Linked DNA regions of Astyanax mexicanus. The protein of the gene in region 1 interacts with the protein of each later gene in a biochemical or structural test. Links are inferred from orthologs where the notes say so. Each region holds a gene or a part of one and is shown in the gene's direction. Other genes may lie near its edges.

Region 1 (11,265 bases):
TGTTAGACTTTGTGAGCATTTTTAGCGTCTACCTCACTGCATAACTGTTGTATCATGAGCCACCTTCTGGCTGATAAGGGTATTAAAACCAGTTTCTATGACTGACAAGATTTAATTGCAAATTTCTGCGTGATTTTTTTCGTGAAAAGGGGATGGATGATATTGCAAAAAATGATTACTGTGAAAATCAGTATACATTAAACCCACTCCTATTAGGAGCAACCTATTTACATTGATATTTATAATAATTTTGAATTATTACTTTTTTCCCCCGTTAGTAGACAGTGCCATTGTGCTACATTGATTTATGTTGTGGCCTTTAGCAGGTGCTCTTATTGAGAGTAACTTAGAAAAGTGCTTCGTCATTCACTCAGAACATCCAAAGCTCATATTGGTGCTTTAAGATTTGATACTACCACACAATATGAGCCAAGCAACCCATGTTTAATTTCACTGAATGGACCTTAAATTTTTAATGTTTGGCACATATTTAATTGTAATAAAAGTGATATTCAGTTATGATAAATAATGTCCACCCTTTTTACACGAGTACAAAGTTTTTAGATAGGCCAAGCGCAATTTAACTAAACTGTAGAAATGTGAATTAGAGAGATTGTTTTTCTTTGGCTCTCTTCGCACCTCTGTCAGCATCCAGGTAAAAGACTGTTGCATAATATCTAATAGTCTGTATATCTAACTATAAAATCTGTATAGCTAACTATACACTAAATGGACAAAAGTATCTGGATACATTCTCATTTGTTGTTTCTTTTTTCTTATTTGTTTTTTATCCGTTCAATGTTCTTAAAAGAAATTTGAGGAACTGTCTCTAATTTCCAGGGAAGGCTTAGGTCATTATGATCATGTTAAGAGATCACTACCCCACCTGATCCTCTCTCTCCAACTCCCAGACTCATTCCTAAAATACTGGATGGAGCACCATCATTCCAGAAAACACAGTTCCACTGCTCCACAGCTCAATGCTGGATGGCTTTAAACCCCTCTTGCCTAGCCCACACCTGCCAGTAGGCATGATGGCTGTAGGTTAATTTAATTCCTACAGAGAGTCCTATTAGCAGTACTTCTTTGCACATCTGTATTATCAGCAACTTTAGGAGGCAACTTTATGAAGCTGAATGGACTCATTAGAAGAGGTGTCCACAAACAGAATTTAAATTGGACACATTTTAGTGTCCATTCATGTCCTCTTGCTTGGTAGGAATGTGTGGAGTTTGACCTGTATACTTTGTGTCTCCTCCTCCTTCTCCTTCTCCTGCAGGTATTGATAAAGAGAACGTGGAGCTCTCCCCTACCTCCAGCCTGTGCAGCGGCAGCCGAGCGCGTCACGGTTCAGCCAGCCAGGTGCAGAAACAGCGCAGCGCTGGCAGCTTCAAACGTACCAGCATCAAGAAGATCGTCTGAACACGCTCCGAGACCAAGCTGTGCATTCAGGAGGCTGCATTAATTACCTTTCTGCATAAATCGTTTCTGTTGCTCCGTCGACCAGTCTGAGAAGGTTCCTTGCGTTTGAGCTTCATTTTGTTTGTTAAGGAAGCCAGAAATGGAAGAACAGTGTTTACTACCTGTGTGTTTGCATGTGTGGAACAGCGATCTAAGAGGCGAGGTGTGATGGGCCTGAACCTCTCTCTGCACTACAGTTCAGAATCGGCTCTCTTAAGAAGCTTTGACTGGTGCATGAAGAGAAAACGTTGTAAACTGCGTAGTATCTCTGTGCAGTTAGCATCCTTTTTTCCCCTGATGGCTTTTCAACTTCTGCTTTGAAAGTCAGGGGAGCCTGAGGGAACACTCAAGCGAGGATGAAGACACTGTCTGCTGTTTTCTCCTAATCTTCAGCAACGGCACAAGATTGTGTGCAAACTGTATGTATGAGGAACAAGCTTCAAATGTTCTCTACGGTTTTTTGAGACCGAACACTTGAGACTGTAGGCCTCAAGGAAGCTTCTGGAAGAATTTTAAATATAAATATATATATATATATATATATATATATAAACAACCACTACAACACCTGACCAAAACTGACTGTGGAGAAAGACAACCTCAAAGTGTTTGGCAGGATTTTGCTTGGATCCTTTTGTCCTGAGAATTAGCCAAACCTGGTGATCTGAGGATATTCACAGTTAAGCTTGATCCAGGTCTAGACTGGCAATTGGATGTCATTCTAATACCAAGCAGATATGTGTTTGGTGTGTGTGTATATACGGAAACGATAGAGACGACGACGATGATGATTATGATGATCACACATTTTGGGTTGCCGTTTTGTCCATTGTGTGCCTTTGTCAGGATTATCAGCTGTGTATAGTTTGTAATATAAGCTGAGGAAGGGAAAAACAGGTACTACTTATATAGAGAAGTGTTCTTCTTCACATATACATATGTCCATACTTTGCTGCACTGTAAAGAAGTAAAAACGATCATATGTTCTTCAAATATATAAGTGTCATTACTTGCTGCATTTACTGTAGATATTTATTCTGTCCAGGTAGATAACTCAAATTAAATGAAGATAAATAGCTCTTATTCGCTGTTCTCCTATAATAACAACCAATTATCATTCAAAAATAATATTAACAATTAAGAACAGTCATATACTGACAAGAGTGCTACAGCTAACTGACTGTCACATGATTCCTGTAGTCATTGTGACAATGATAAAAGTGATAAAACATGAGTGACTATTTGAGAGCTTTTGAAGATATTTAGCTTCAGCTTAGTCTCGAAGTTATGGTGTGCCACCAGTAATTTATATTTTTTCTGTTTAGTTTCAATACAAATATGCTGTGTATGTTGTTTGGTCTATTTTTAGGTTTATTGTGTTTTCAAAGGGTGGGCATAGGTTAAGACAGAAAGGGAGATGAGGTGGTCTGTGTGCGCACCATTACTGGAGCACAGCATCCATCAGATCCATTATCCATCAGTATTAATCTGTACCAGGCCCCCACCCCCCCACCCTAAGTTCCAGGATATCAAGAGGGAGGCATAGTGATATTGCACCAAAGGATAAATCGCAAGAAGAAAAGAATGGACATGTTGTGAAAACACCTTGTTTCTTTTTCTCAAATTCTTCTAGATCTTCTCATATGTTTACCATTGTAGGTTATATATGTCTATTATGATGACACCTTCTTCTTCCAAAATGGTTTTGGGTTTGTTTTCCAGGCCGTTGTTGCAAAGAAGGTTCTGTCTTGTAGCTACTATTTACACTGCATGCTTCATGTTCATGCCCCCCATCCCTCCACCCATTTCTATGGGTGCATTAAGACTAGTGTGCCGTTTCACTCACATTCATTCATTGTAAGCAAAATACCACTACAGTTTACTCAAAATAACGAACGCACATGACTTGAGGAGGTTAGCTGATGACGTGCAATATTCTCTGTTCGTACACGCACCACTTTTTCTTTCTTTTTCCAGAAGATAAGGTGGAAATCTCATGACTATACACTATCATACTATATTTTTTCTTTATTTTCTCACTGACAGTGTCTTTTTCTTTTTACTTTTCTTTTATTTTTTTTAAAGGGAAATCGCACTACAAAAGAAAAAAGAAGGGGATCAGCCTTCTAATGCGTGAAGCATTACCGACTTCTTTTTTAAGGAAACCAAAGTCACTTATCTGTTGATTACAATTGGTTGTAATATTAGTTTTCTGCCCTTCAACCACTAAACCTATTCCTATATATCTCAAACCACTGCATCTCCTAAGCATTAATTGCCTTAGTAAAGGGTTTATTCTCTTGTGTCACTTGTGATTAGTCAGTCTAGTTTTGACAGTTATAACAGTGCCTCCTGCTTTTCTTTCTTAATTGGGACCAAATCCGTCCTGCTTTCTCATTTTTCTATTGTGTTTTTTGTTGTTTTTTGTTTATTTTGTTTTCCTTTATTATGTAATCCATGTAGCTTCAGTATTTTATGTTTTCCATTTTGTTACCCTGTTGTCTGTACATAAGTACCATTTTAGAGTGCAAGAGTAGTAGTACCGATAGTTCAAGATGGTGACTATGCCGAGGCTGTCCAATGAAACATTGTACAATTTTTTTTATTCACATTTTAATAACACCTACTACACCTCATGCAAAGGATTGATATGTGGGTGAAAGATGAGTTTCAACTAACCAAGACTGTAATCTATCTATCTATCTTGCGCTTTCTAAATCCCTCCTAGTTCCACATTCATTCACTAATCCCAGGCTTTGGCTTGATGGTACACAGCTAAATTAAATTGTGTAAGTAAAGTTCTCAGGATATATGGAAGCCTAATATGTACAGCTATAGATGGAGGTACGATGTAGGGGATGGCCTGCTGTTCTCTGCAGTTCATTGGAAGCATGCTTGCCCTCCTGCCTTTGGAAATGTGTGTGTGTGTGTGTGTGTGTGTGTGTGTGTGTGTGTGTAAGAGAGTGTGTGAGAAGTATGATGTAAGATAAGTCTTGCTCATTTTGTGTCACACCTTGTGGTTAAGGAGCACTGCGTACATTGAAAAGAAGTAAAAATGTTTATTATATAATGCGAAGCTGTGTTTGGTTGAAGCATTTACCACATTTTAATTGCACCAGTCATCTGTAAACAGCACATTTGTCATTTGTAAATATTTTTGTGTAAAATTGGAAGTTATATGATTGTAAATATGACATTGTATTGCTTTTTTGTAAAGCAGTTAGTTGCTGTACATGTATAACATGGCAATTTAAATATACCTGTGTTCATAATAAAAGTTGTCCACCACCCTGTCACAGTAACATTAAATGTGGTATTATTTCTGTCAAGTCTATACTATACTATATGTTACCCCACACACTTTTTTGTGTGAGGCTGTTTTTTTATTGACATTATATAATAATAAAAAAAACAGCTATACTGGCAACGTATTAATTTGATTAAGTTTGGCACCACCTTTCCTCTCATTCACTTTTTAACACAGCCTGGTGAACTATTATCATCTTTATTTAGCGATGTAAACACAGTGATGCTACGGTTACAATCAGAGGTCGATTATATTTTAATTAAGATTAAATAAAATCTGTCTGTATGAAGGTTGGTAAAGCTGGAATATTAAGGAGTTACATACCACAATACACTATTATTATTATTATTTATTTATTTATTTATTTTTTTACCCCAAAAATACTGGGAAGTGCCATTTGAACTTACTTAATGGATTTAATCAGAATTAATAATTTTTTTTTTATTATTCCTACCATTTTTTAACCATTACTAAAAATATGATTTACTAACTACATTAATGTATACATAGTCATGTAATGGGTAAAGAACCACAAAGATAATACAAGTTTAATAATTGTGCAAATGTATTCACTTCTGATGTCTCTATGAATTTATTTATTTTATTTTTATGTATATATTTATTTTTATTCTTATCTTAATATCTGCCCATTTTAATAACACCAGAACAATCAAGAAATGTAGAAAATTCTATAACTGTGTCGGAAATATAATTAATGCTGCATACTCAGTCATGTCTGAGTACATGTTTAGTTTCTGACAGTTTTCTTCAAACACTTCTCAGCAATTTTGTAGTGCTTTTTAAAATCTTAACAATACATTATATTCACTATGTAGTTTGCTAAAAAAGCACCCAAAATGTTGTGTAAAGATGGTTTTGTTGTTTGATCGTTCCCTAATCATAGTAAATGCTACATAATGAATAGTGCGTAAACCATTTCAAACACACTTAGGGTCTCCGGAATGTTTTTCTGACAGCTTTTGCTGGTTAACCTAAGATCCCTGAAGATCTGTGAGGCAGCCAATGGCGCTGATGCAAGATATACTGTGAACATGGAGATATCAGAATGCAGTATTTAGCCCTATCCGGATGGGATTAGTTTCTCAGGGGGGGTGTCTGTGTAAAATATTTTACACTTTTACTCAGTGATAAAACTCTTTCATCTGGACTGCAATTAAAAACAAACAAACAGGAGAAACAGTGAGTTCTTCGGCTTTCTCAATCACGACATCGCATTCAGTAGCTCCTCCATTTCCACTCGTTCTTGTGTTTACGTAGATCTTCGTGGAAGCGCGTGCCCAAAGTGTAATTACTGTGCATGGCAGTGGACAAATAGCTATTTTATAAAACGCAAGGAGACAAAAATCAGAGATGTGCGTCCAGACCGGAATAAAATTACCAGAGGACCACAGAGTGCAGCGGAAAACAGTAGGTAATTCAGCCTGTAAGGACTAATTTCTTAACATCTCTACTTTATTTATTTTACTTCTGCTCAAGCACATTTGTGAGGTAAGGAATGTAGCTACTTCTTACTTTTTTATTATTATTAATTAATGACCTTTAAATACTAATTCCTTTAGATGTTCTATGTTTCATTCTGCTTCTATTGTAGCTAATAGCCAACACACCTTTGTGCTTTGTGAAGTTTGGAAACCTTCTGTGGGAGCCTCGCGAGAGCCAAGGAGTAGCGCAGTTGTCGCGAGATTTGATCAGCTGGTGCGTCTGTGTTTTAGTGTGCTTCGGTCGGTCAACACGTGGGGAGGAGAGCGAGAAAGACACACAGAGAGAAAGACACTGAGCACAGGGACACGGCCGGGGTGTGCTGGGCCCAGAGGACAGAGGAACAGTAGCGGAGCTTTATTTATACGGGTGTGCGGTTCACCGTGGCGGCGAGAAGGACGTGCAGACACGGTGAGTGTGCACTGCTCTGTACGGTGGAGAGTCGGGCTCAAACCGGGGGACACTGGCGCTAGCTAGCTAGCTAGCTGCTTAACATAGCCCGCTAGCGCATTGCTCTTCTGTACATAGCTAGGCTAGTGCCTCAGGGTTGCCCTCTACTTTATGTAGCTGGCGGGGATGTTAGCGAACACTAGCAATCATCATGTTTTCTTTTTTCTGTTACTATTTTCTTATGTTGTCTGTATGATTAGTGACATTTAGTTAGCTAACGCTATCTGTCTTATGCTCCAGCGCCTCTCAGCAGCTAAAACAGAACTGTTAGATAACTAATTATGGCTCCCCAGCCAACACACGACTTGGCTGCTTAAAGCTGTCTCACTTTGCAGCCCAGTCAGAGTGTTAGAGCTAGTTTAACTAATGACAGGGCTTTCTAATTTTAGCATTCATTGTTAGCTAGCTAACCTAGGTTAGCTATCATATATAGGTTAGTTATCCTAAGTTATAATCCTAGTCAAGCTAGTTAGCTATTTAAGCTAGTTTGACAGTTTTATAATTTAATATAACGTTAATATTACCAGGTTATAATTTTTCAGTGTAAAGTAGCCTTAGCGTAGCTAGCTTCAGTTATGTTAGCCAGCTAGCTATGAACAGTCAGGACTCGTTCATTTACGCAACATTAATATTTAGCTATTAAGCTAAGCTAGCCCAGTTCACATTGTGTCTGTGTGTGGTGCAGGGCTGGAGCTTATTGACGTTAAATAATAGGAACGGTAGCTAGCTAATATGAGTAGTAACTTTCATAACCTATATATATATATATATATATATATATATATATATATATATATATATATATATATATATATATATATATATATATATATATATGCTTATACATCAACCGCTAACTTATATAGTTACTTAGGTTGACCTCAACTCGAGTAGTTCACAATATAACAAATGTAACTAGTAAAAGGATAAAGCTGCACAGAAAATATGACCTAGCTAAATAGTTAACTAACGTTACATGGCTAAAATGCGTTTAACGCATGGAGCGACCCTCTCTCACACGCACACACACACTATTACTGCAGCGCTTAAAACTCAAACACGTTCAGCGGAACGAAGCTCGTGATTGGGCACGCGTGCTGCTGTAGGTATAGCTAACCTAGCTAAAAGCTGTCATTTACAGACAGATTTAAGCGAGAATCCACTTGATGGCTGTCGATCATTAGGCTCGTGAAGTAAGTTGGCCATGCCGTTCAAAGTCACGCAGCGCTGTGGCTTTTAGCTGCTTCTGGATGACCTCTCTCTCTGTGCAGCTAATGGCTCTTTCTGCACGGTATTAATTCATCCAGCGCTTTTCGGCCTTCCGTTAGCTACTGTAATAAACACGCTGTAGGTCAAAATGAAGCAGTTAACGTTAGCCAGCCAGGTACTTAGCGCTAGCTAGCAGCCCGCTCATGCAGCTTGCCCCACTTATTAGCTAAAGCTGAACGGCGGACATAGCTTGCTAACATGTTAGCTAGCTAGATAACTATGATAGTCTGTACTCGTTTGTTTTCCATTTTCATGCAGTTTTTGTGACTGTAATGTCAGTCGTGCTTAACAGTAGCCAGTTGGCTAATAGCTTAGCCCGCTAACGCAACCACACTGAAGTTTGCTTCTTGTTCGTTAGCTCGCGTTAACTTAGTTAGCTAGCGTCTTGTAGGAGCTGTTCGGTCCACCTTAACTCCTAGGTTATATTTTTAAAACTCATTGTAACACTTTTTATTTTCTTCTTAGTTTAACGTTAGTTTATTTGTTAGTTATTTGTTGTAGGTAACGTTAGTTATATTTGCATTCTTTTGGTCCACAGTTTTAGCTTCATTTTACTTTTCTTGGTTGATTTTGTTTGTAGGCCTGTCACAATATTTGTTCTCGATTTATGGTATCGATATAAATAGTTAAGCTGCATCATCTATGGTTTATTTAAGTTAGTTTTCTGAAGATGAGCTGGTCAGCACTGTAATTATGGTGTAATTGCATATTGTTGCATTATGTTGTACTACATTACATTAGTGGCAAAAATATTATTATTGTTATTGTGACAAGTTTTTTTTTGTAATTTTGTCCTTTCTTGGACCTTTCTTGTTTTAATAATTTTCACCCTCTTGTTTTGAAGATACATTTCCTTTTTTTTCACATTAGTGGCATAACATTATCAGTTTGGCAGCATTATTGTTTATTACAATAGTGAATAACAGCATGTCGCACGAAAATAGTTATTGTGACGGGCCTTTTATTATAATTTAGGCTTTTTAAACCTATTTGTTTAAAATATTTTCCCCTCCTGTTTTAAATCTGCATTTTTTTAAATCTTTTTGATCATTAGTGACATAACTGATTAATTTGGCAGCATTATTGTTTATTACAACAGTGGTTAACAACATATAACAAAATAGTTATTGTGAAAGGCCTTTATCATTTAGGCTTTTTTTTTTGTTGATAATTTAATAATTTTTTTCTTTTGTTTTAAAGTCACCTTTTCATCTTGTTTTATTAGATAAATCTCAATGTGATATTTTTTCTTTACAAACTCACAGAATGAAATATATATTTTTATTTTATCTTTTTCTTTCAATCCCTGTCTATTGTAAATGTACCTTCAGGTAAAAATCCAGATTAAGTGAGTGAGTGGGTGCGTGAAATGCTGTAATAGCGCATGCGCAGGGCAGTGAACAGTCGGAGGCATTTAAGGTAGACTGGACAGTTTGAATGAGAAGTCAACTTTGGCTTCGTGCTAGTTAGCTAACCTAGCGCACATGTAGCAGCGCAACCTCGAGGTAACAGACCCACACAACCATATGCGCCAGATGCCCGTCTTAATTTCGACCCTGCACAGCTCTATCAGGAGATAGGTTTGTTGTAGATAGGCTAACCTATTTCTTTACAGTCTCTCTGTCTGGTTACTGTTGATGTTGGTCGTGTTTATTGAGAGATTAGCGAAACGATAAGTGTCATTTTCTCCAGCAGTGTGAGGGAGAGCACGGCGGGCTGTGTGCTGCTTGGTGCGTATATTAGCTAGCAGAGGCTCAGTGCGGCTGTTTTGTATTCTAAACGCGGACACGCTAACTGGCTAATAAGCAGCTTAAGACGCTTCTTCCAGTCGCAGTGCTCGCTCGGCGTGTTTGTATCGTGTGTGAGAAGTGTGAAGTCCGGTGACCCCCGCCGTTATCTCCCCCCAAGGTCGTACAGCGGCGCTCCGTGATTCCTGACTCCCTGCGTGCAGTAAAGCGCCCAGGCCCCTGATAACAGCCAAGCCTGCGGCCGGCAGACACTTCACACGCCGTTTATTTAACCTCCTCGAAGGTGAACGGTTTGGCTTTGGCAAAACAAGCACTGGCATTTTCTGTTGTCCAAATTGCGCACGCTCAGGAGTCTCTCTCTGCAGCCTGAGACATGTGACTGCTCTCACACTGAGAGGGGGACTCTCCTGTATGACTGCCATGAGGAGATCCATCCATCCATACATACATACAGAAGAAGGTCCATACATACAGGAGGTCAACGGTGTAGATTAACAATTAAGGATAATCAGGATTGGATGTCAGCGTGAAGTTTTAATTATTAATGGAAATTTAGCTGCGTTCGATTACTGCTTATATAGAATAAATATATTAGACTTCAGCAGTGAGAATGAAAATTACAGGGCATTTTACAGTATATTATAGAGATTTAATGATCTCATGATACCATGATTCTGCAATACTCAATATATTGCAGTCATTCATTCCACGTGGAGTAATGAAGCAGTAACAAAAGACAGAATTAATTTCTCAGGGGATCCTGGGGTAATTTTCTTTTTTTATAGGGGTAATTTTAGTACTGTCCGGATATCTGAGTTTTGTTTCCTTGTATTTAATAAAATAGAATCTGTCTACTGCTATACATCGTAGGTACACTTTGGACATGCGTTTCCACAAAGAGCCACTTAAACACAACAGCGAGTGGAAATGGAGGAGCTACTGAACACGATGACGTGACTGAGAAAGCCAAAAAACTCACTGGTCCTCCTGCAAGAGTTTTATCAGTAGAAGTGTGAAGTGTTTTTCACTGATGTCCCCCTGAGATACTAATCTTTTCCGGATAGGGCTTTAGTCAAATTAGGTGGTGAGTCTTAGGGAGTTTAGAGTGCCTATTTTCAATAAAAACATAGATGTTTGACATCCCATGTAAATATAGTATTACAAACAAAAACAGTACAATGTTGTGTCTTTACATTTGGCCAACAGTTTAGAATGTCACTTCACAAAGTTAAGAATACAGCATCATAATTTGTTTGCATGAAAAAACTGTAAAGAATTGCAACTCCATTTGTTTCTTTGTTTCTCCCATAAAAATACTGGTCATTTTTCGCATTCATCTGCTATCATGAACACAGAGTTAGCAGTCTTGCACATAGGCTTCTATTGATGCATTTTGGTGTGATTGCCCAAACTGAGACACAAAATTTAACTAATGCTATGCAACAGTAGTACTTGATTATGAAAAATAGTGTACCATATTACATGTCAGAGGTTATGTATACTTAACATGTTACAACATGACCAAGCATT
Region 2 (10,988 bases), on another chromosome or scaffold:
TACAGTTTAGCTGTGTTATCAGTTTTATGGCAGAAAAAGTATACTACTACTAATAATAATAATAATAATAATAATAATAATAAAAATCAGAACAAATACAATAGAGTTCCAGCACTTCGTGCTCAGACCCCTAATCACCTGCTCCAACTTCAACAACAACGTCTGCAAGTACTACAGTACTACACCTCTACAACAGCTGCTACAAGTTCGAGATCAACTACATCTATACCCATCATATCAACCACAGCAAGAACATCTACATCTTCTCAAACAACAACAACTGTTTAAATTTAATTACATAAAATTAGCCTTTTGTACTTAAACTCATTTTGTTGAAATAATAAACAATTCAATTTCTTTCTGTTCTCATGTTTCTTTAACTGAATTTACAATGAATAAATACTGAAATGAAGCCGAGCATTTACAAGAGCAGAGACTGACATGCCAATAAAAATTTAAAAACTATTTTTAATCATTTGAAATTAAAAGAAAATTTTATATAACAGTGAATAAAGATTAAAATAGGTAAAAACTAATCTTGCTATTTAATTGACACTAATAACAACTAGGGTAACATCTAGGGGGGAAAGTTTGATAAAGAACTTCAGGCTTGGAAAAGCGAAAGTTCTATGAGTATACCGATCATCACAGTTCTAACAACAAAAAAAATGCTTGAAATTTTTGATAGAAATGGATCCCTTCAGGGGACGTGTAATTTAGTTTAAAAGTGAAAAATTGACTTTTTTCCAAGGGTTGAAAAGACGTTGGTTTAAAGACTAAACGTCTAATTTAGGCTGACACTAAAAGGTGAAAAGACATTTTTCCAGTGGTTGAAAAGATGAATGTAGACACACATTATTTTTTGGTTAATTAACAGTAAAAACATATTTCATGTAGAAATGTCAATTGTTTATTTTATGTTTAATGATCTTTAAATTTTTATTTAATGCCACTTGTGTATGAAAACCTTTCACCCCCCCCCCCCCCCCCCCCCCCCCCAACAACCTACTGTTGCATAAGAAATTATTTGTAAGCTTATAGCTCTTAACTTTAAAATTTTAAGACATCCATGCTGTCCGTGCCACAACCCCGGACAACACACAAACCTTTCACAAATTGTAACCATGGAAAGTTTTTAAACTTAATGAAAAAAAATATTTATGATTAAAGAACCTTCTCGCTATCTAGTTAGCTAGGTTATCTAGTGTTAAACATGCAACAGTGAGGTTAAAATAGCTTTCACATGTCACCACATTTCAATATTTCAATAAGATCTAAAGAAGTTTCATAAACTTTTATCATACAATTTAAATCTAAACGATGAAACAAAAAAAAAATAACTATATACCATTTGCACTGATCATTCCTCACGGTCGGCCAAACAACTGGCTTTTTAACCTAACCAATCTATGCTAACTAGCTTAATGCTAGTTAACTCGGGCTCAGACTCCAACAAGGGTCCTATTTAACCTGGTTTGGTAGTAATAAAATGACACAAGTTACACAATAAAACTCAAAAATTGCAGAGTGGTGTTTTTTTTTAAACTTTACCTCATCTTAGCCTTATCAGCTAACCAAGCTAAGCTAACTAACCGGGCTAGTGTTAAGCTAGTTTAGTTACCTCAGGCTCTGGATCCACCACAAGTTCTGTTTAACTTAGTTTCATAATAAAAAATAAAATATATCTAGCTAAAGTTACACAGTAAAACCCAATCAATTGTCTTTTTTCCTCACAGTTACACAAAGTGTTGGTTTATTTTATTGGTTTATAACTATAATCTTGGTATCTTGGTATTAGACTTATCAGCTAACTAGGCTAAGCTAACTCGCTAACCGGGCTAGCGTTAAGCTAGTTCAGTTACCTCAGGCTCTAAATCCACCACAAGTTCTGTTTAACTTAGTTTCATAATAAAAAATAAAATATATCTAGCTAAAGTTACACAGTAAAACCCAATCAATTGTCTTTTTTTCTCACAGTTACACAAAGTGTTAGTTTATTTTATTGGTTTATAACTTTGTAATCTTGGTATCTTGGTATTAGACTTATCAGCTAACTAGGCTAAGCTAACTCGCTAACCGGGCTAGTGTTAAGCTAGTTCAGTTACCTCAGTTACCACAAGTTCTGTTTAACCCAGTTTTTTAATAAAAAATAAAATACAGCTAGCAAAAGTTGCACCATAAAACCAGGGAATGCGCTCTTTGCACAACTACTTCCCCATTCTCATCAGTGCTGCTCCAGCGTTTCCTGTTTGGCTTTTCCAATACACTCCTTATGGCAGTATTTTCAGCTGGTGTTTACAAGAGCTTCTAAAAATTAACCTCAACGTCCAGGAGACCAGTAAAGCCCACCACTAGTCTAATAATAATAATAATAATAATAATAATAATAATAATAATAATAATAATAATAATAATAATAATAATAATAATAACATTTATTAGACAAATACTAGCTATAATAATAAAAATGCTGGCTATAATAATGCCAACTATTATAATAATGATAGTAAAAATAATAATAATCACTATAAAAAGAATCATATACATGCTAGCAATAATAATATTAATAACAATAAAAATACTACCTACAATAATAATAATAATAATAATATTAATAACAAAAATAAAAATAGTCAAAATAATAATAATATCTAGCTACAATAATGATAATAATAATAATAATAATAATAATAACAATAATAATAATAACAATAATAATAAATATCTATAATAATAATAAATATCTATAATAATAATAATAATAAATATCTATAATAATAATAATAATAATAAATATCTATAATAATAATAATAATAATGATAATAATAATAATAATAATAATAATAATAATAATAATAATAATAATAATAATAATAAAAATATCTAGCTATAATAAAAATGCTAGGTGGTGGATCATTCAGGCAAGTACGTTTAGCTGATCTCCTCTCCAAATCACGTGGAGCCTGGGTGCTGTCACGTTAATTATTCCATTTAAAAAGCAGTGGCACTGCATGCTTTGCCAGTCGTCTCCAAGCTTCTGACGTTTTTGGTTTAACCAGGTAGTCTGGTATTAAATGTTTGCTACAGACCTTTCATACGGCGAAATGGTGAAGTGGTCCTGACTGATGTTCATCAGTCACTGTTTATTAGATCACTCTGAGCAGGGAAGCTATGAAAGCCTAAAGCTTCCATAAAACTTAGCAGACGCCGTGCAAAAAGGAACACAGCAGTGCTGAAAACGGCTTGAAAACCTCACGCTGGATACTCATTTTGACCTCTTGCTAGTACAAAATGTACGTTTTGCCTATACAGGCGAATGTAAACAATACAACCGGAAACGTCCGAGCCGCAACTTCTGCTACAACCTCAACTACAGGTCCAACAACCACAACCACACCTCCAACGACCTCAACCCCAGCTCCAACATCCTCAACTACAGGTCCAATAACCACAACTACAGCTCCAACAACCTCAACCCCAGCTCCAACAGCCTCAACTACACCTCCAATAACCACAACTTCAGCTCCAACAACCTCAACCCCAGCTCCAACAGCCTCAACTACACCTCCAATAACCACAACTACAGCTCCAACAACCTCAACCCCAGCTCCAACAGCCTCAACTACAGGTCCAATAACCACAACTACAGCTCCAACAACCTCAACCCCAGCTCCAACAGCCTCAACTACAGGTCCAATAACCACAACTACAGCTCCAACAACCTCAACCCCAGCTCCAACAGCCTCAACTACAGGTCCAACAACCACAACTACAGCTCCAACAACCTCAACCCCAGCTCCAACAGCCTCAACTACAGGTCCAATAACCACAACCACACCTCCAACAACCTCAACCTCAGCTCCAATAGCCTCAACTACAGGTCCAATAACCACAACTACAGCTCCAACAACCTCAACCCCAGCTCCAACAGCCTCAACTACAGGTCCAATAACCACAACTACAGCTCCAACAACCTCAACCCCAGCTCCAACAGCCTCAACTACACCTCCAATAACCACAACTTCAGCTCCAACAGCCTCAACTACACCTCCAATAACCACAACTTCAGCTCCAACAACCTTAACCCCAGCTCCAACAGCCTCAACTACAGGTCCAATAACCACAACTACAGCTCCAACAACCTCAACCCCAGCTCCAACAGCCTCAACTACAGGTCCAATAACCACAACTACAGCTCCAACAACCTCAACCCCAGCTCCAACAGCCTCAACTACAGGTCCAACAACCACAACCACACCTCCAACGACCTCAACCTCAGCTCCAACAGCCTCAACTACACCTCCAATAACCACAACCACACCTCCAACAACCTCAACCCCAGCTCCAACAGCCTCAAATACACCTCCAATAACCACAACCACACCTCCAACAACCTCAACCCCAGCTCCAACAGCCTCAAATACACCTCCAATAACCACAACTACAGCTCCAACAACCTCAACCCCAGCTCCAACAGCCTCAAATACACCTCCAATAACCACAACTACAGCTCCAACAACCTCAACCCCAGCTCCAACAGCCTCAAATACACCTCCAATAACCACAACTACAGCTCCAACAACCTCAACCCCAGCTCCAACAGCCTCAACTACACCTCCAATAACCCCAACTACAGCTCCAACGACCTCAACCCCAGCTCCAACAGCCTCAACTACACCTCCAATAACCACAAATACAGCTCCAACAACCTCAACCCCAGCTCCAACAGCCTCAACTACACCTCCAATAACCACAACTACAGCTCCAACAACCTCAACCCCAGGTCCAACAGCCTCAACTACACCTCCAATAACCACAAATACAGCTCCAACAACCTCAACCCCAGCTCCAACAGCCTCAACTACACCTCCAATAACCACAACTACAGCTCCAACGACCTCAACCCCAGCTCCAACAGCCTCAACTACACCTCCAATAACCACAACTACAGCTCCAATGACCTCAACCCCAGGTCCAACAGCCTCAGCTACACCTCCAATAACCACAACTACAGCTCCAACAACCTTAACCCCAGCTCCAACAGCCTCAACTACAGGTCCAATAACCACAACTACAGCTCCAACAACCTCAACCCCAGCTCCAACAGCCTCAACTACAGGTCCAATAACCACAACTACAGCTCCAACAACCTCAACCCCAGCTCCAACAGCCTCAACTACACCTCCAATAACCACAACTACAGCTCCAACAACCTCAACCCCAGGTCCAACAGCCTCAACTACACCTCCAATAACCACAAATACAGCTCCAACAACCTCAACCCCAGCTCCAACAGCCTCAACTACACCTCCAATAACCACAACTACAGCTCCAACGACCTCAACCCCAGCTCCAACAGCCTCAACTACACCTCCAATAACCACAACTACAGCTCCAATGACCTCAACCCCAGGTCCAACAGCCTCAGCTACACCTCCAATAACCACAACTACAGCTCCAACGACCTCAACCCCAGCTCCAACAGCCTCAACTACACCTCCAATAACCACAACTACAGCTCCAACGACCTCAACCCCAGCTCCAACAGCCTCAACTACACCTCCAATAACCACAACTACAGCTCCAACAACCTCAACCCCAGCTCCAACAGCCTCAAATACACCTCCAATAACCACAACTACAGCTCCAACTACATAAACTACAACTACAATCACAGCAACAACTACAGCTGTATCCACTACAACAACCATGCAAGAACAGATCCAGTTCTACCATGAGATTAATTCAAATCCTTAACTACAACTGATACAAGTGTAGACCGTGTTGGTGTGGTATTGAGTACAGTGTGGTTACTGTAGACCGTGTTGGTGTGGTTTTGAGTACAGCATGGTTACTGTAGACCGTGTTGGTGTGGTATTGAGTACAGTGTGGTTACTGTAGACCGTGTTGGTGTGGTATTGAGTACAGTGTGGTTACTGTAGACCAAACACCAACACCAGAAATGAAAACATTGACTGAAGTGACATTGCAGCAACGTTAGAGGAATGTTTAAATACGTTAAAACGATAACGCCGGCTGAACCTTCGACTATGCCTGCTTTACCTCCGAACACATCTGCTGCAACTTTAACTTTTTTTTTTTTCTTTACCTCAGTGTACTGGTTTAAAGTTACTGGTTTAGGAATAATTCATTGCATTTCACAATTATAATTTCATAATTTTTATTTATTTATTTATTTATTTATTTATGATTTATATTATATGAAATAATATTATATTATATTGTAATTAAATTATAATCTTTTTATGTACTATTTATTTATTTTGATTTATATTTCATAATTTCTATATTTTATGTGTTGTTTTATATATAGTTTTTTTATTTTTATATATTTTTTTATTTTGTTAAGCTATGTATTTATTATTTTATTGTATTCTTTTTTACATTAACATATATAATTTGTTGTGAGTGTATGTGGGCGGTTCTTGGTTGCCAGGGCGACGGTGTGTCGTGTTCCGGTGTTTGGCGCGGTGGGGTAGCGCGCATGCGCGGGCTTGGAAGGTAAGTTAGAAGGTTAGCAGCGGAGCTGAACTCCTGAACTCTGAGAGGAATTAAACCCGGAATGGCGCATTACAGGGTGAGTACCGGTCCAAACAGCACCGAACAGAACCGCACAGCGGTACACAGCCCGCCCGGACCCGAACAGCCGCGGAGTTTAGGGGAATTTATGGTATTTATGGTAGTTAATACCGGCGGAGAGATGCAGGAAGCTAAAGCTAATAATTTACCTCAGAACCGCCGCGGGTTCCGACCCAGCTCACAGCTCTTCCCTTCTCCAGAACACCCTCACAGCTCCCGAACCGCGGCCCACAGGTTCCGACCCAGCTAATATACCAGAACCGTCGCGGGTTCCGACCCAATGCAGCCCGTTTTACAGCTCCAGAACCCAGCTCAACTCTACCGACCACCTTAACCAGTTTAATTACTACTAATTACCTGTCCAGATACTAATTACCAGTGTAGATACTAATTTCCAGTTTAGATACTAATTTCCAGTGTAGATACTAATTACCAGTTTAGATTAGGGGTGGGCGACATGGCTCTAAAATAATATCACGATATTTCAGGGTATTTTTGCAATAACGATATACTTGGTGATATAGGAAAACAGAAATAATTTGTTAATTTTAGTAATATAGTATAATAGTATAACAGTATAATCATAATGTGGCAAAATAAATAATATAGCATAAAATAATATAATCCAGCAAATAATATAGCAGAATATTTAGTGCATGCATATAAACTGCAAACTAAAACAATTATACAATAAATACACCTAAAGCTTCACAGTAAATAATAGACTACTTTTAAGACAGAACAGCCCTGTTATCACGATATGGATTTTTATATCATGATATTTCTGTGTCACGATATATTTTATACGATGTAATATTGCCCACCCATAGTTTAGATAGTAAATTTCAGTTCAGATGCTAATTACCTTTGTATATAGTGATTACAAGTGTAAATACTAAATACCAGTGTAGTGTAGATACTAATTACTTTAAATACTAAGGACCCATTAGGGGTGGGCAATATTATGTCGTATACAATATACCCTAAATTTCCTTCGGGATAAATAAAGTATCTATCTATCTAGTGACAGAAATATCATGATATTAAAAATCCATATCGTGATAATAGGGCTGTTCTGTTTTAAAAGTAGTCTATTATTTACTGTGAAGCTTTAGGTGTATTTATTGTATAATTGTTTTAGTTTGCAGTTTATATGCATGCACTAAATATTCTGCAATATTATTTGCTGCATTATATTATTTTATGCTATATTATTTATTTTTATCAGATCTTTACCTGCCTGTATAACCAGACCCCTCCCCCCACTGCACACCTGTGTCTGAGCCAGCTCACCTGATCCCACGATAAGTGATGATTATCTGACCAGTCCTTCACCTGCGCCTTTATTTTTTTTTTCTAACTGCGTTTTGTGTGTAGAAGTGCTGAGTGAAATAAATATAAATAAAGAATTCTGGTCTGATGCTGTTATACACATTTATAACTTAAAGAGAGACTACACACACCGGTACAACTTTATAACTTTATCAATTTATTGAAAATATATTAAAATTAGCTTAAATCAATGCATTTCACATATACATATAGTTATACATAGTTTTTTTTCCCAGATTATCAAACAAACATGAAGATAATCTGAGTAAATATAGGAATCACTTTTAAAATGATAATTTCATTTATTATGGGAAAAAAACAGGCCTGATAACTGCCAGAACTGCACTATCAAGAGATCACTTCATGTCTGGGTATCTGTTCGTGACCTCAAGCTCAGGAGTACTTGGGTTCTGCAGCAGGACAATGAACCAAATCACACAAACAGCAAGTTCACTGTCTCTGAATGGATTAATAAACTAAATGAAGGTTCTGGAGGGTTAAAGTCTGATTGAGATTGAGTATTATTGTTAATTTATGTATTTATTATATGAATGATGTGTTTCAGGCTGCAGAGTCGAAGCGTGAGCAGTTCAGGAGGTACCTGGAGAAAGCTGGAGTTCTGGACAGTCTCACTAATGGTGTGTTCTGCTCTATACAGCTCTATCTGTTATAGTTATAGATGTATACAGCTCTGAAAAAAAATAAGATTCCACTTATGATGATGATCACAAACCATCAAACCACCAAACTGAACTGCTTGAATTTTTGCACCAGGAGTAAAGCAGCATAAAGTTATCCAAAAGCAGTGTGTAAGACTGGTGGAGGAGGAGAACATGATGCCAAGATGCATGAAAAAAACTGTGATTAAAAACCAGGATTATTCCACCAAATATTGATTATTTCTGAACTCTTAAAACTTTATGAATATGAACTTGTTTTCTTTGCATTATTTGAGGTCTGAAAGCTCTGCATCTTTTTTGTTATTTCAGTCATTTCTCATTTTCTGTAAATAAATGCTCTAAATGAGAATATTTTTATTTGTAATTTGGGAGAAATGTTGTCTGTAGTTTATAGAATAAAACAACAATGTTCATTTTACTCAAACATAAACCTATAAATAGCAAAATCAGAGAAACTGATTCAGAAACTGAAGAAGAGCTCTCTATTATAGAGAGCTTTGTATAATACTATATTCCGTATATTTTTGTAGAGTGTTCCGTCACTAATCATTTCCCCTTTTCTAACAGTGCTGGTGGCTCTGTACGAGGAGACGGATAAACCCAACAATGCTCTGGAGTATCCTTTATCCTCTGCTGGGTTACATGTAGAGCTTTATATCACAATTACATTGTTTTACTCAATACTATATAAATAAAGGGCACACCTTAACAAATTCACTTTTAAATGAAATTATCCAACATCTCTGCTGGATTTTCTCAGTCAGTTTTATGAGGTAGAGTCACCTGGAATTCAGGCTTTCAGTTAACAGCTGTGCTGAACTCATCAAGAGTTAATTACTTGAATTTCTTGTCTCTTAATAAAGTGTTTGAGAGCATCAGTTAAAGTAAAGTAGTTAAGAGGTAGAGTTACAGGTATACAGTGAATAGTGAATATTTGAGTAATGTTCTAATCCAGATTATGAGAAGCAACAACTACTCAACTAAATAAAGAATAAATTACGTTAAGAAGAAATGAAGGTCAGTCATTTAAAAAAAAAGAAGAATTTCAACAACTGATAATGATGAAACTGGCACTTATCAGGACTGTATATGAAAGGAAGAGCGAGAGTTTCCTCTGTTGTACAGGATAAGTTTATCAGAGTTTAATCTAAATACTTCACAGAGTATTTTGGTTTGTTTAACACTATTTTTAAGTTACTACATGATTCATTATGTGTTCCTTCATAATCTGATACATCACTTTACTATTCATTTACTGTGTAGGAAAGCTGTGTCCAAACTTTTGACTTGAGTAAAGTATCTGTACATTACTCTAGTTTCCAGTTATTAATATCAGAACTCTGGAATTAATGCACTCCTCAGAGATACGATAAATACAGATATCCAATTATTGTCCAGTTCTATTCAGATGGTTGTTAGATAAGGTAGTATGGAGTTAAATTAGTGCTAAATCTATGCAAATAAAGAAAACATATTCTGTAAATATTATACTACCTGCAATGATACACAACACATGTTATATTTCTTTAAGAGCAATGTATTAGAAAAACTGAACGCTGTGTATTTATTTAAAGGTTGCATATATATATATATTTATATGTTTACATATATATTTGTAAAACACACCCTGTGTGTTAGATAGTTGTGTTTTATATTTGTAAAGCGAGTTGTGTTTGTTTGCAAGTAGTATAATATTTAAAAATAAGTTTTCTTTATTTGCGTAGTTTTAGCACTAATTTAGCTTCATAAGGTCAATCAATCAATCTTTATTTTAACTCGGATGTACATTGAGGAAAACCCTCATTTTTAATGTAGCCGAGCATTTACAGAAACAGGGATGGCAGAGAAAATAAGAGCAAAATGTAATTATTTTAAAATAACGGTATATAGTGTGTAAAAATAGATACAAAAATAAAAATGTAATTAGAATAAAATACAAATAATAATTAAAAGGTAGTGTTGGCAGGGTGTGATGTCTGTAATTGTGAGCGGGCAGGTACCTGAGTTCCCGAGAGAAGCGTTGTGGTCCTGAGTCAGATCTCCCGCAGGTTTATACGGCTGCACCTGAGCACAGGTGAGCCGGACTCCGGCGACGTGGAGACGCTGTGTCTGGAGCTGACGGAGCTGCAGCAGAAATACGACGCTCTGCTGGAGGAGAACCGAGACCTGAAGAACCGGGTAAAGCTGATTATACACTAGATAACTTCAAACAGACTCCGAAAAAAGACGTTAAAAGACTAAGTTCTGATTCTCATTCACATCTAAAGACTAACGCTACGTTCACATTAGCAGGCTAAAGTGACTCAAATCTGATTTTTTCACGGTTGTGTGAACATGCCAATTATGATTTCTTTTTTTCTTTTTTTTCACAAATC

The links.
Region 2: the proteins of akap1b (region 1) and C-Myc-binding protein form a complex in vitro, tested with the Homo sapiens proteins (2 studies listed by BioGRID). The link is inferred for Astyanax mexicanus from reciprocal best matches to the Homo sapiens genes AKAP1 and MYCBP.

The regions. Positions count from the first base shown.
Region 1 is NC_064425.1:18,459,271-18,470,535, reverse strand, and holds the start of akap1b (A kinase (PRKA) anchor protein 1b), read left to right. Parts: upstream 1-6,504; 5' UTR 6,505-6,679; intron 6,680-9,504; exon of another isoform or gene 9,505-9,567; intron 9,568-11,265. Other genes in the region: nf1a (neurofibromin), read left to right, coding at 1,280-1,422.
Region 2 is NW_026040049.1:698,504-709,491, forward strand, and holds the start of C-Myc-binding protein, read left to right. Parts: upstream 1-6,474; 5' UTR 6,475-6,584; coding exon 6,585-6,599; intron 6,600-8,498; coding exon 8,499-8,571; intron 8,572-9,180; coding exon 9,181-9,229; intron 9,230-10,661; coding exon 10,662-10,791; intron 10,792-10,988. UniProt on the Homo sapiens protein: May control the transcriptional activity of MYC. Stimulates the activation of E box-dependent transcription by MYC.